Linked DNA regions of Yarrowia lipolytica. The protein of the gene in region 1 purifies or fractionates together with the protein of each later gene. This does not show direct contact. Links are inferred from orthologs where the notes say so. Each region holds a gene or a part of one and is shown in the gene's direction. Other genes may lie near its edges.

Region 1 (5,823 bases):
ATCCAGCCGAGACCGGTAAGGGCTACAACGGTGGCTGGGGCTTCTCCGGTGACGGCTCCGTCAAAGAGTTCTCTTCTTACGGCACTAAGGAGTTCTACTCTTGCGTTTCCAACGACGACCCTCTTCACGGAGGAAACGATGTCTACGTTTTCAACGGCAAGTACGCCTGTGACAAGCCCAACAAGTTCACCATTGGCGCAACCAAGGAGTAGTGATTTCTACCAACTATTTATTCTCTCTTTTCCGCTTCACATTCACGCTTTCGACCGCCTACAATGTAGTTCTTTCCCTATTTTGATATAGTAAACCAATTCAATATTGATAGTTATTTCGAGTCCATTGATGAGTTTAGTTTAGTGTAGAATGAATAGCGTATCCGCGGCAATCAACAATGACCGTTTATATCTCCCTTTGTCGTCTGTAACGCTCCTACAACGATAGCGGGTTTTTTTTATGCTAATGATTCATTACAGCTATATACCTAATAAGCCGGGTTATTGGCGTTGAATTTTTGAATTTTTGCACTCATGTAGACATAAAGTCCAGTTTTCAACATCAGGTTGTATAGTGTAGCGGTTATCACCTTGGATTCTGAAGAAAACTTCGATTTCCAGTAACCCCGGTTCGATTCCGGGTACGACCTTTCCAGTTACGGCCATATCCTGGTGAAAATACGGCTTCCCGTCCGATCAGCCATAGTCAAGCACCAGAGAGCCTAGTTAGTATTGTAGTGGGAGACCATACGAGAATCCTGGGTGCTGTAATCTTTTGCCTCTCAAGCTGAGGTATTTCATTTTTTTTGTTTTACTTTTTCTCCTATTACACTACAAGACTTTGTCTACTGACTGATGGTTGTCTTTTTTGGTATAAATTTAATGCAAATAAATAACGATCAGAGCTCACCGCACTTGTGCTTGAGTCGCACAATCTCGGCGTCTCTGAGATTAATGGTTAGTCGCAAGAGCTCGATCTTGGACAGTCCGTCGGTGGACTTGTGCATCTCCTTGATGGTGTTCTGCAGCGCCTTCTTCTCGTTGATGAGAGTCTTGGTCTGGGCCAGCAGCTTGTTGTTGGAGTCTTCGACTTCGGCAATCTTCTTGTTGTTCTGTTCGATAACTCCCACCAGCACCTTCATGTGGTTGGCCAGCCGACGGTTCTCGGCGTTGCGCTCCTTAAGAGACTTGCACACTCGCTGGTACACGTCTTTGAGCGACGTGTATGTCGTCATAAGGGTGTGTTGCGACATGAGCTGCTGCTTGAGCTCTCTGACGGAGGCAAACGAGTCTGTGACCGAGTTGTCTGACCCTCCGGTGGCAAAGAAGTCGTCTTCGGGAGACAAGTTGAAGATCTTGCCCAGGTACTCGTCCATGTTCTGTTTGGACTCGGGCTCCTCAGTTGCGGAGGCAAGAGTGGAGGGAGGCATAGAGGGACTAACAGACGAGGCGGCAGACGAGGACACAGAGGGAATGTGGCTGTAGGAGTAGCAGGGGGGTTGTGGAAGATCCATAGTCGATGCAAGAAACTCAGGCAGAGAGCCCGAGTCGGGGGGGCTATGGATTTCTTCGATCTTTACGGGTTCGGGGCTGATCTCGGTTTTGATATCCCTCTTGGTCTCTGCAGAGACCGTGTGGATATTCTCCTCGTCATCGTCCTCGATCTCGATGATCTCTATGGGTTTGATCTCCTTCTTGAGATCCTTATCATCGCATTCGGATCCGGGCGTCAGAGAGTTGGGAGTGGCGAGATTCACGTCGTCGGGCTCCGACTTGTACGCAAGATCTCGCTCCAGCATGCGCGCCATTTCCTGGTCCTCGGAATCCTTCTCCAGCTTGACCTTTTTGGCTGGAGATGCCGGCTCCGTCTCTAGAGCCCTCTTGCCATGCTCGGGACTGTTGGAGGGGTCTCCATGGGGCGACGATTCCTTCTTCCAGTCGTCGTTAAAGTCCTGCTCGAACAGCTGGTCAATTGTGTTCATTGCTGACGGCGTCAGTTGTCGGGTAGCTGTGCTCTGTTTGGTACTATGTTGTGTGTTGTGCGAAAATTCACTGTTCGATTTTTTTGCCTTCATGCACTTTGGGCGAAAAAAAAAATTTGAAGTTATGCAGGCAACATTGTTTTCGGCACTGTTGATGATACCCGATAAGACAGGGATATGGCGACCTATATATAGCTAGCTGGGGGCTGGAGCCGTTACAGAGGGGATGTGGCGACTGTGCTCTAAAAATTAGTTTGGCCACTGCAAGTATATAAATATATATACATACGTGTCCTCCAGACAACCATCCCCATACACACTTAGTACCTTTCTCTATCATAGCCCGGCCATTAGAGAGCCGCACAGGTCAACCATAAAGAGAATCAGAGCAGGTAGGTGACGATGCTGAGTTCAATGCAACCGACGAGGATAGCAAACAAACACAGAGTTGCATACTTGTAGTTAGCATGCGACATTATGTTTGTTGCCGGAAAATCCAACATATTCGACATTTCTGGATGAAGAGAAGCGGTTGTGGTCTCACCGGTGCCACTACTCCATATTATATAATCATGCAATGCAATATGTAGGTGGTGAAGTTTAAAATATTTTTTTCCCCTAGGCCCCAACATCACAGAATTATCACCAAGCACCAGCAGACCAGCACCATATACAGCAGCCAATAGACAACCAACCATGTCTGAAGCACCAAAGAAGAAGCCGGCCTGGAAGACGGCCCGAAACAAGGAGCTCCGTAAGGATCTCAAGCGGGTGGAGAGCCACACCCAGGAGGCCAAGGAGGCGGCGAAAAAGACAGAAATGCTGCTGTTGGAGGAACAGGGCTTTCTAGAGGCCGAAAACGAAATGGAGGCGACCCACAAGGTGACGCAGGAGGAGATCAAGGCGTCGGTTGATATTTCCACCAAGAAAAAGGCCTACGACCTCAAGCTGCCCGACTTTGGCCCCTATGACATCAACTTCACCCGAACAGGCCGAAAGCTGCTCATTGGAGGCCGAAAGGGCCATGTGGCAGCGTTTGACTGGCGAGAGGGACGTCTACAGTTTGAACTCAACCTCAACGAGACTGTTCGTGCGGTCCAGTGGCTCCATAACGACCAATACTTTGCTGTGGCCCAGAAAAGGAATGTCTTCATCTATGACCACCAGGGATCCGAAGTACACAGACTCAAGCAGCAGATCGAAATGACCAACCTCGATTTCCTGCCCTACCACTACCTGCTCGTATCGTCGGGTCTCACCAGCATGCTCTTTTACCAGGATGTATCTATTGGTAAGCAAGTGGCTGCCTTCAAGACCAGACTGGGCCCCACCACCTCCCAGTGCCAGAACCCCTATAATGCCATCATGAATCTCGGCCACTCCAACGGAACCGTGACCATGTGGTCGCCCAACGTGGACGAGCCTCTGGTCAAGATGCTGGCCCATCGAGGCCCCGTGAACGACGTTTCTGTCGACCGATCAGGACGATACCTGGCCACGGCTGGCTCCGACTCGTCCGTCAAGGTCTGGGATATCAGAAACACCTACAAGGAGGTGCTGCGTCTGCCCCGAACCAAGGTGGCGCCCCAGACGGTTAACTGGTCTGACTCCAACCTGCTTTCTGTGGGCCACGGAAACACCATCACCGTGTGGAAGGACGTGCAATCTGCTCCTCGACCCAAGCAGCCCTATATGCAACACAACATGCATCCCGACTGGAAGGTGAGCAGCGCGCAGTTTGTGCCGTTTGAAGACATCCTTGGAGTAGGCCACTCCGAGGGCTTCTCTTCACTCATCATTCCCGGAGCCGGAGAGGCCAACTTTGACGCTCTGGAAGTCAACCCTTACCAGACGCGACACCAGCGACGAGAGGAGGAGGTGCGAACACTGCTGCAGAAGCTCCAGCCCGAGATGATCACCATGGATCCCGAAGACATTGGACGAATCGCCATGGACAAGGACCGGCGACGAAAGACGGCCCGAGAGCAGATGGAGGAGATCACGGAGCCCAACAAGAAGCGGGCACAAGAGTCGGACGACGACATGCCCGAGCTGCAACCCCATCTGGCCGACGAGGAGACGGCCGTCAGCAAGGAGCTGCAAAAGAAGAAAAAGAAGGGTGTGGTGGACGAGCGGCAGATGCGACTGGAGCAGCTTCAGGAGCGAGAGCGACGAATGCGAGAGAACAAAAAGCGACGACTGGAGGAGGGATATGTGGAGGAGTACGTGTCTCCTGCTATCTCCAGATTTCAGCAGAGACAATAGATAATTTATGCATATTGAACGAGCAAAAGTACAAGGCAAGTAATAGCAGACCGGCTGCTGACAGATGGAGTGGCCAAGTGAATCTGTACGCGTAGATGTAGTAAAAGAGCTACTGCTTATCGGTCCATCTCTTGTACCCAGGCATGGGAACACGAGTAAATACTGTACTGCGTCTCTTCAGATATTCTTTACTAGTGAAAGACCAACAGCGACTGGCTCGTTTCGAAAGTAGTCTCTTGATTACATGCTGTCTGTACTTTTACCGGTATGTGCGAACAGATTCATATGAATCGAACATGAGATAACGAGCCACCGAGCCACTCCTTTTCAGGCAGCTGATACTTAGGGTCTTGCTGCTGACTCGTTTATGAGTTGGCCCAGTGTAGTCATGTTTACGTTGGATCTAGCTGAAGAGAAGTGCCGTCGATATCATGGACCAGTGGCAACACATTACAATAGAAGGGACTTCGTTCAATCCCGCTTTTCTCGTCGTCTAGTTTTCAACTCCATGTTCTATTGCACCTTCCATTGCAAGCTGTTCTTTATATATTGGTTACAACTGCACAACAACAGTGTACACGCCCAGTCATTTGTGCGCTCCATCTACAGGCACTCTACGCCCTTGCTCGGTTCTCCAACAATCATTACCAATATGCTTACTCGGTCTCCTCGACGTACTTGAAAGGCTCGGGCAGAGGAGCCTCGTCGTCCTCATCATCAAAAGGATTGTTGATCTGTCGGACCGTCTTGATGAACTGAGGCTTCTTGCCGCCCTTGCCCTTCTCCTGGTCTCTCAGAACCACAACTCCACCAACAGAATGCAACTTTCGAATGGGCACAAACCGGTTCTCCTCAGGAAACGAAATATACTTGAGCTGGGAAGGCAGCACTCGTGTTAAGTTGGCAAGACGCCACTTCTTCTGACCGGGGATTCGCTTATCAGCGTCCTCGTCCACCTTGGCCTCCTTGGCAGGCTTTGAAGATGCTGCAGCGGCGGAGGAGGGCTCCTCGGGCTTCTCCTCAACTTCCATCTTGTCAGCCTTATCCTTCTCGTTCTTCTTGGCCCGAGCCTTGGCACGAGCTGTGGTAGAGAGAACGGCGGTGGCAACCTTTTCGGGAGCCTTGTCAACCACCTCCTCGGCAGGAGGAGGGTAGCCAAAGTAGGAGGGCTTGTGAGAGGTGACAAAGTCAAACTGGGGGATCTTGAGGTCCTCGTTGACTCCGGTGACAGCAGTGGTGCTGAATGACAGAGACAGGAAGTGGGTGTAGGGGAACCAGTACCAGAACTGCGAGAAGACAACCAGACCGACAATGGCCTTCATGTTAAGAGACCCAGTCTGGGGGTTCTCAAGAGCAATGGTCACATTTCGACCTCCGGCATCAATGATACCCTGAGCTAGAGCAGCACCAAACTTGACCATGGGGTCCTCGTGCTTGGAGGCAATGGCATGAGCAAAGGTCTCCCGGGCAGTCTTGACTCGAGGACTCATCTTCTCATTCTGCTGGATGAGGATCATGGCGAGAGCCACAAGAGCACCCTGTCGCACAAAGTCTGCGGGGTCCTTAGTCAGAGGCTCAAGCAC
Region 2 (4,173 bases), on another chromosome or scaffold:
CATCAATATGGCGATTCCTGGAAGATAGACAATGGTTTGTGGTCTTGAGGGTGGTATTTGAGCACATTTCAATCCATTTTTGGACTCAAACAAGTGTTTATTAGCTACACATCAAGTAATTATGCCAACGGTTGTTGATATGTCCTCCGTCAATACGATGAATCCAGGGTACTGTAGCTGGAATTTCTCTACATAGGCGATTTGGCAAAGGACTGAGACATTTATCACTGCCCAAAAAAGACCAACATCGAATCCACAGTGCTGAGAGTTGCCTGGACAAATCAGGACTTGATAGACAGCAGAAACAGACAGAACGAGAAGCAGAAAAAGCCCTCCTTTATAGAAAAACGACCATGTGTACTCTCAATGAAGTAATTCTCCAATTTCACCACTCACATAGATGGATCTTATGTAACAAATACATCAACGATTCCCACATGACTTGCAAAAGCGGCTGTTCCAACCCAGGAAGATGATGACCACTCTTTGGGAGGCGGGATAGAACACAAAATCAACTACAGACATATGTATCCGAGTGGATCGGAGTCGTACTTGAGAGCCGAACAGATTGAAGATCTCCATTGTTCTTACCGATCATCTGGAAAGGTGTAAGTACCATATGTGCTACCCGTACTGTATGTACAGACTAGAAGCATTCTCTCAATGATTGATCTACTTGTTGTCTTCAACTGAGCCTTGGAGTGGAGCTCAAGCCGCGCGAGGTATCCGAGTCATGGTAACAATAGAAACACAAGAACCTCCTGAACGAGCTCCACCCAGACATCACCATTGTCGACTCACGACCTGAAAGATCTCTGGGACTACTTGTACTGATCTGGAGATCAGGTGAAAGTGGTCAGAATATCGTGGTCAACTGTGCGGATCGAACGTGCATTGTACGACGTAACCAGGAGGCAAGTATGGTGTGTACTGTACTGTACTTGTAGACTAGAATTGTGTCCTGAAAAGACTGGCATGTGTCCAATGTCTGTTATCCATGCTAAAGTACGGGTCAAGCCAGTCAAGTTCATGTAGAACCGACTGAGAGAGTCTGCTTCTTTCTGAACAAAGACGTCTTGGTCTTGTCTTCCTGCCCCGTCCTGCTTCACTTGCCTGGATTGGCGGCAGCTCAGCCCGGCGGCTTAGTCCGAGCAGTACCATTGCGATCTCCTTGTCTCTGTAACCTCGTCACTCATATCCCCTCAACGAGCACGCCGGATAGAGCATCTGGCAGCTTTCAGTCTCGAAAAAGGCACATGAGAGAGTAAGAGCACGGAGAGACCACGGTTGGTAGGTTCCACGGGTTCTTCTCTAGCGTGCTACAGGTACGAGTACACGTACATACTGTACAGTACATACATACATACCACCTGAAAGCGGCGCTCTGGAGTATCTCACTCTGAAGGCCCTTCGTTGTCACTCTGGAGTATCTCACTCTGAAGGCCCTTCGTTATCACTCTGGAGTATCTCACTCTGATGGCCCTCCACTGTCACTCTGGAGTATTTCACTCTGTACCTCTGTCGTCAGAGACCACCCTCATGGCTCCTGGAGACGTTCTGAAAAACATGTTCAGTACAGAGCCATATGGTACCCGTGAGAGCAACACACAATCTCCCTTCGTAATCGCGTCAACCATCTCATCCACTCTCCCCGGACCGTACCGTCCCTCCACAAACTCTGTCACTACTCAGATCCCAATCACTGCGCCAAAGGTAGGGTTAATCGCAGCATGAGAGACGCAATCAGCAAAAAAAATTGGACCTGTGCATGATGCAAGTTCCCTACTTGTAGAATAATAATAATAAAAAAATAAAAAAAAAGTTGGTGCGTGACCTTGGTCGATTGTGTATCTATGAATGACGGTACTAGGAGTCGTGGAACTATCATGAGCTCTTCTGATCCTGTCTAGCCCCTCATTTGGTTTTAGCGTCTGTTGAAGATACCCCAAAGCCCATATTAGTGGCCGTAGTACCACATTGGTTCGTTTGTGAAAAAAAAAAAAAAAAAAAAAAAAAAAAAAACTTTCAAGCGTAGTTAAATATTTTGCGAATATTTGGGTGGGTCTGAACAGAGGTACAGCCAGCACTGGTAGATATATGGTGACTGGAGCGTGAAATCAAATAAGGAAATACGAATAGGGCATTTCCAGTGACCAAATCCCACCGACAATGGAGATATTGCAAAACCAGTAGTCCCCCTTCCAGCCCAATTGCTCCATTTCGAGTGGCTTGGAGGGACCAACTAATACCTAAATCATTTAACATTAAATAAACATTAAACAAAAGTCCCAACTACTTGCTAACCATATTTGTTCTAAAAACTCCCACTCCCAACTAACCTAGTTGGCAACTAAAGGCCAAACCTAACCTGTCTCCGAAACGCTCCACAGAACGCCAATCAAAACGAAAAAAACACCATAATACTACCGCGTTCTCTAATTTTCACCATTCACCACCTTTTCTCTTCTCAACCCCGTCCCCCCGTTTCCAACCAGACCCAAGTGGCCAAATCAGACCCACTGTTTCTGTGCACAAACGGGCAAACTCTAACCGCTACCCAAACCCAGAAAAATTTTTGAAAGCCTAAAAAGATCTTCTACCAAAAAAATATTCCTTAGTGCATCTTGACATTCATCACCACACAACCAGTGCAATAACCCATATTGCACCACACAAAAAGGACTTTGAAACACAACACATACACATAATGGGCTTTACTCCTAGAGGTGGACGAGGCGGAGGCCGAGGAGGATTCGGCGGCGGAGACCGTGGTGGACGAGGTGGCCGAGGAGGGTTTGGCGGACGAGGTGGTGGACGAGGTGGATTCGGCGGAGACCGAGGAGGACGAGGAGGCGCTCGGGGCGGCCGAGGTGGTGCCCGAGGTGGTGCCCGAGGCGGTGCCCGTGGTGGTCGAGGTGGTGCTCGAGGTGGTGCCAAGGGCGGAGCCAAGGTCATTGTCGAGCCCCATCGACACGGCGGTGTCTTCATTGCCCGAGGTAAGGAGGATCTCCTTGTCACCAAGAACCTGACCCCCGGTGAGTCTGTCTACGGCGAGAAGCGAGTTTCGGTCGATGTTCCTGCCACCACCCCCGATGGCGAGGCCACCAAGGTCGAGTACCGAGTGTGGAACCCCTTCCGATCCAAGCTGGCTGCAGGTATTCTCGGTGGTCTCGATGAGCTCTTCATCGGCCCCGGATCCAAGGTCCTTTACCTTGGTGCTGCTTCCGGAACCTCCGTTTCCCATGTTGCCGATGTCGTGGGCCCCACCGGTACCGTCTACGCCGTTGAGTTCTCCCACAGATCCGGCCGAGACCTGATAGGCATGGCCAAGAAGCGACCTAACGTCATCCCCATCATTGAGGATGCTCGACACCCCCAGAAGTACCGAATGCTTGTCGGTATGGTCGATGCTGTCTTCGCCGATGTTGCCCAGCCTGATCAGGCCCGAATTATCGCCCTGAACGCACACCTGTTCCTCAAGGACCAGGGAGGAGTCATCATCTCCATCAAGGCCAACTGTATCGACTCCACTGTCGAGGCCGAGACCGTGTTTGCCCGAGAGGTTCAGAAGCTGCGAGAGGAGCGAATCAAGCCTCTGGAACAGCTGACCCTGGAGCCTTACGAGCGAGACCATTGCATTGTTATTGGCAAGTACATTCGAGCTAACAAATAAGTGTCTTCCACAGGATGATGCGGCTATGGGGTGCTAGATTGGATATAAATAATAATTGTATACTTTGATTGAGACATGTAGGATGGATACAGGAACTTGTACGACGGGAACATGGGGTGGGACCAGGGAGCCAGGGCACCACGAGACCACGGATCACGGACTCACTATTGTGCGAATGTTGATCTACTCCAATTGGACGCAGATTATGCATGCCATTTTGGAGGATTATAGAAAATGAGTTGATGAGTAATACAAGTACAATTACTTGTACTGGACGCATGTTCAAAGTATTTGCGCTCGACTGTGGCAATTGACACTGGACAGACTGAATACGAAACTTGGATAATCCCACTTGCATCGCTTAGTAATCACGAACATACAATAACCAAGTGTATTTCAACTAAATACTTAACTAAGCTAATGTGGACGACGATGTTTGTATTGATTGTAGTTTTTTTTTAGTTCAACAGAAAACGTTGAATTTTTAATACATATGGTAA

What was found.
Region 2: the proteins of YALI1_F13446g (region 1) and YALI1_C22857g purify together in Saccharomyces cerevisiae (affinity purification with mass spectrometry; 4 studies listed by BioGRID). This does not show direct contact. The link is inferred for Yarrowia lipolytica from reciprocal best matches to the Saccharomyces cerevisiae genes UTP7 and NOP1.

What each region holds. Positions count from the first base shown.
Region 1 is NC_090775.1:1,341,484-1,347,306, reverse strand, and holds YALI1_F13446g (uncharacterized protein), read left to right. Parts: upstream 1-2,671; coding exon 2,672-4,240; downstream 4,241-5,823. Other genes in the region: YALI1_F13476g (uncharacterized protein), read left to right, coding at 1-212; YALI1_F13452g (uncharacterized protein), read right to left, coding at 893-2,068; YALI1_F13395g (uncharacterized protein), read right to left, coding at 4,897-5,823. UniProt on the Saccharomyces cerevisiae protein: Involved in nucleolar processing of pre-18S ribosomal RNA.
Region 2 is NC_090772.1:2,284,258-2,288,430, reverse strand, and holds YALI1_C22857g (rRNA methyltransferase NOP1), read left to right. Parts: upstream 1-2,707; coding exon 2,708-3,673; downstream 3,674-4,173. Other genes in the region: YALI1_C22878g (uncharacterized protein), read right to left, coding at 112-362, 429-582; YALI1_C22876g (uncharacterized protein), read left to right, coding at 664-681, 747-947.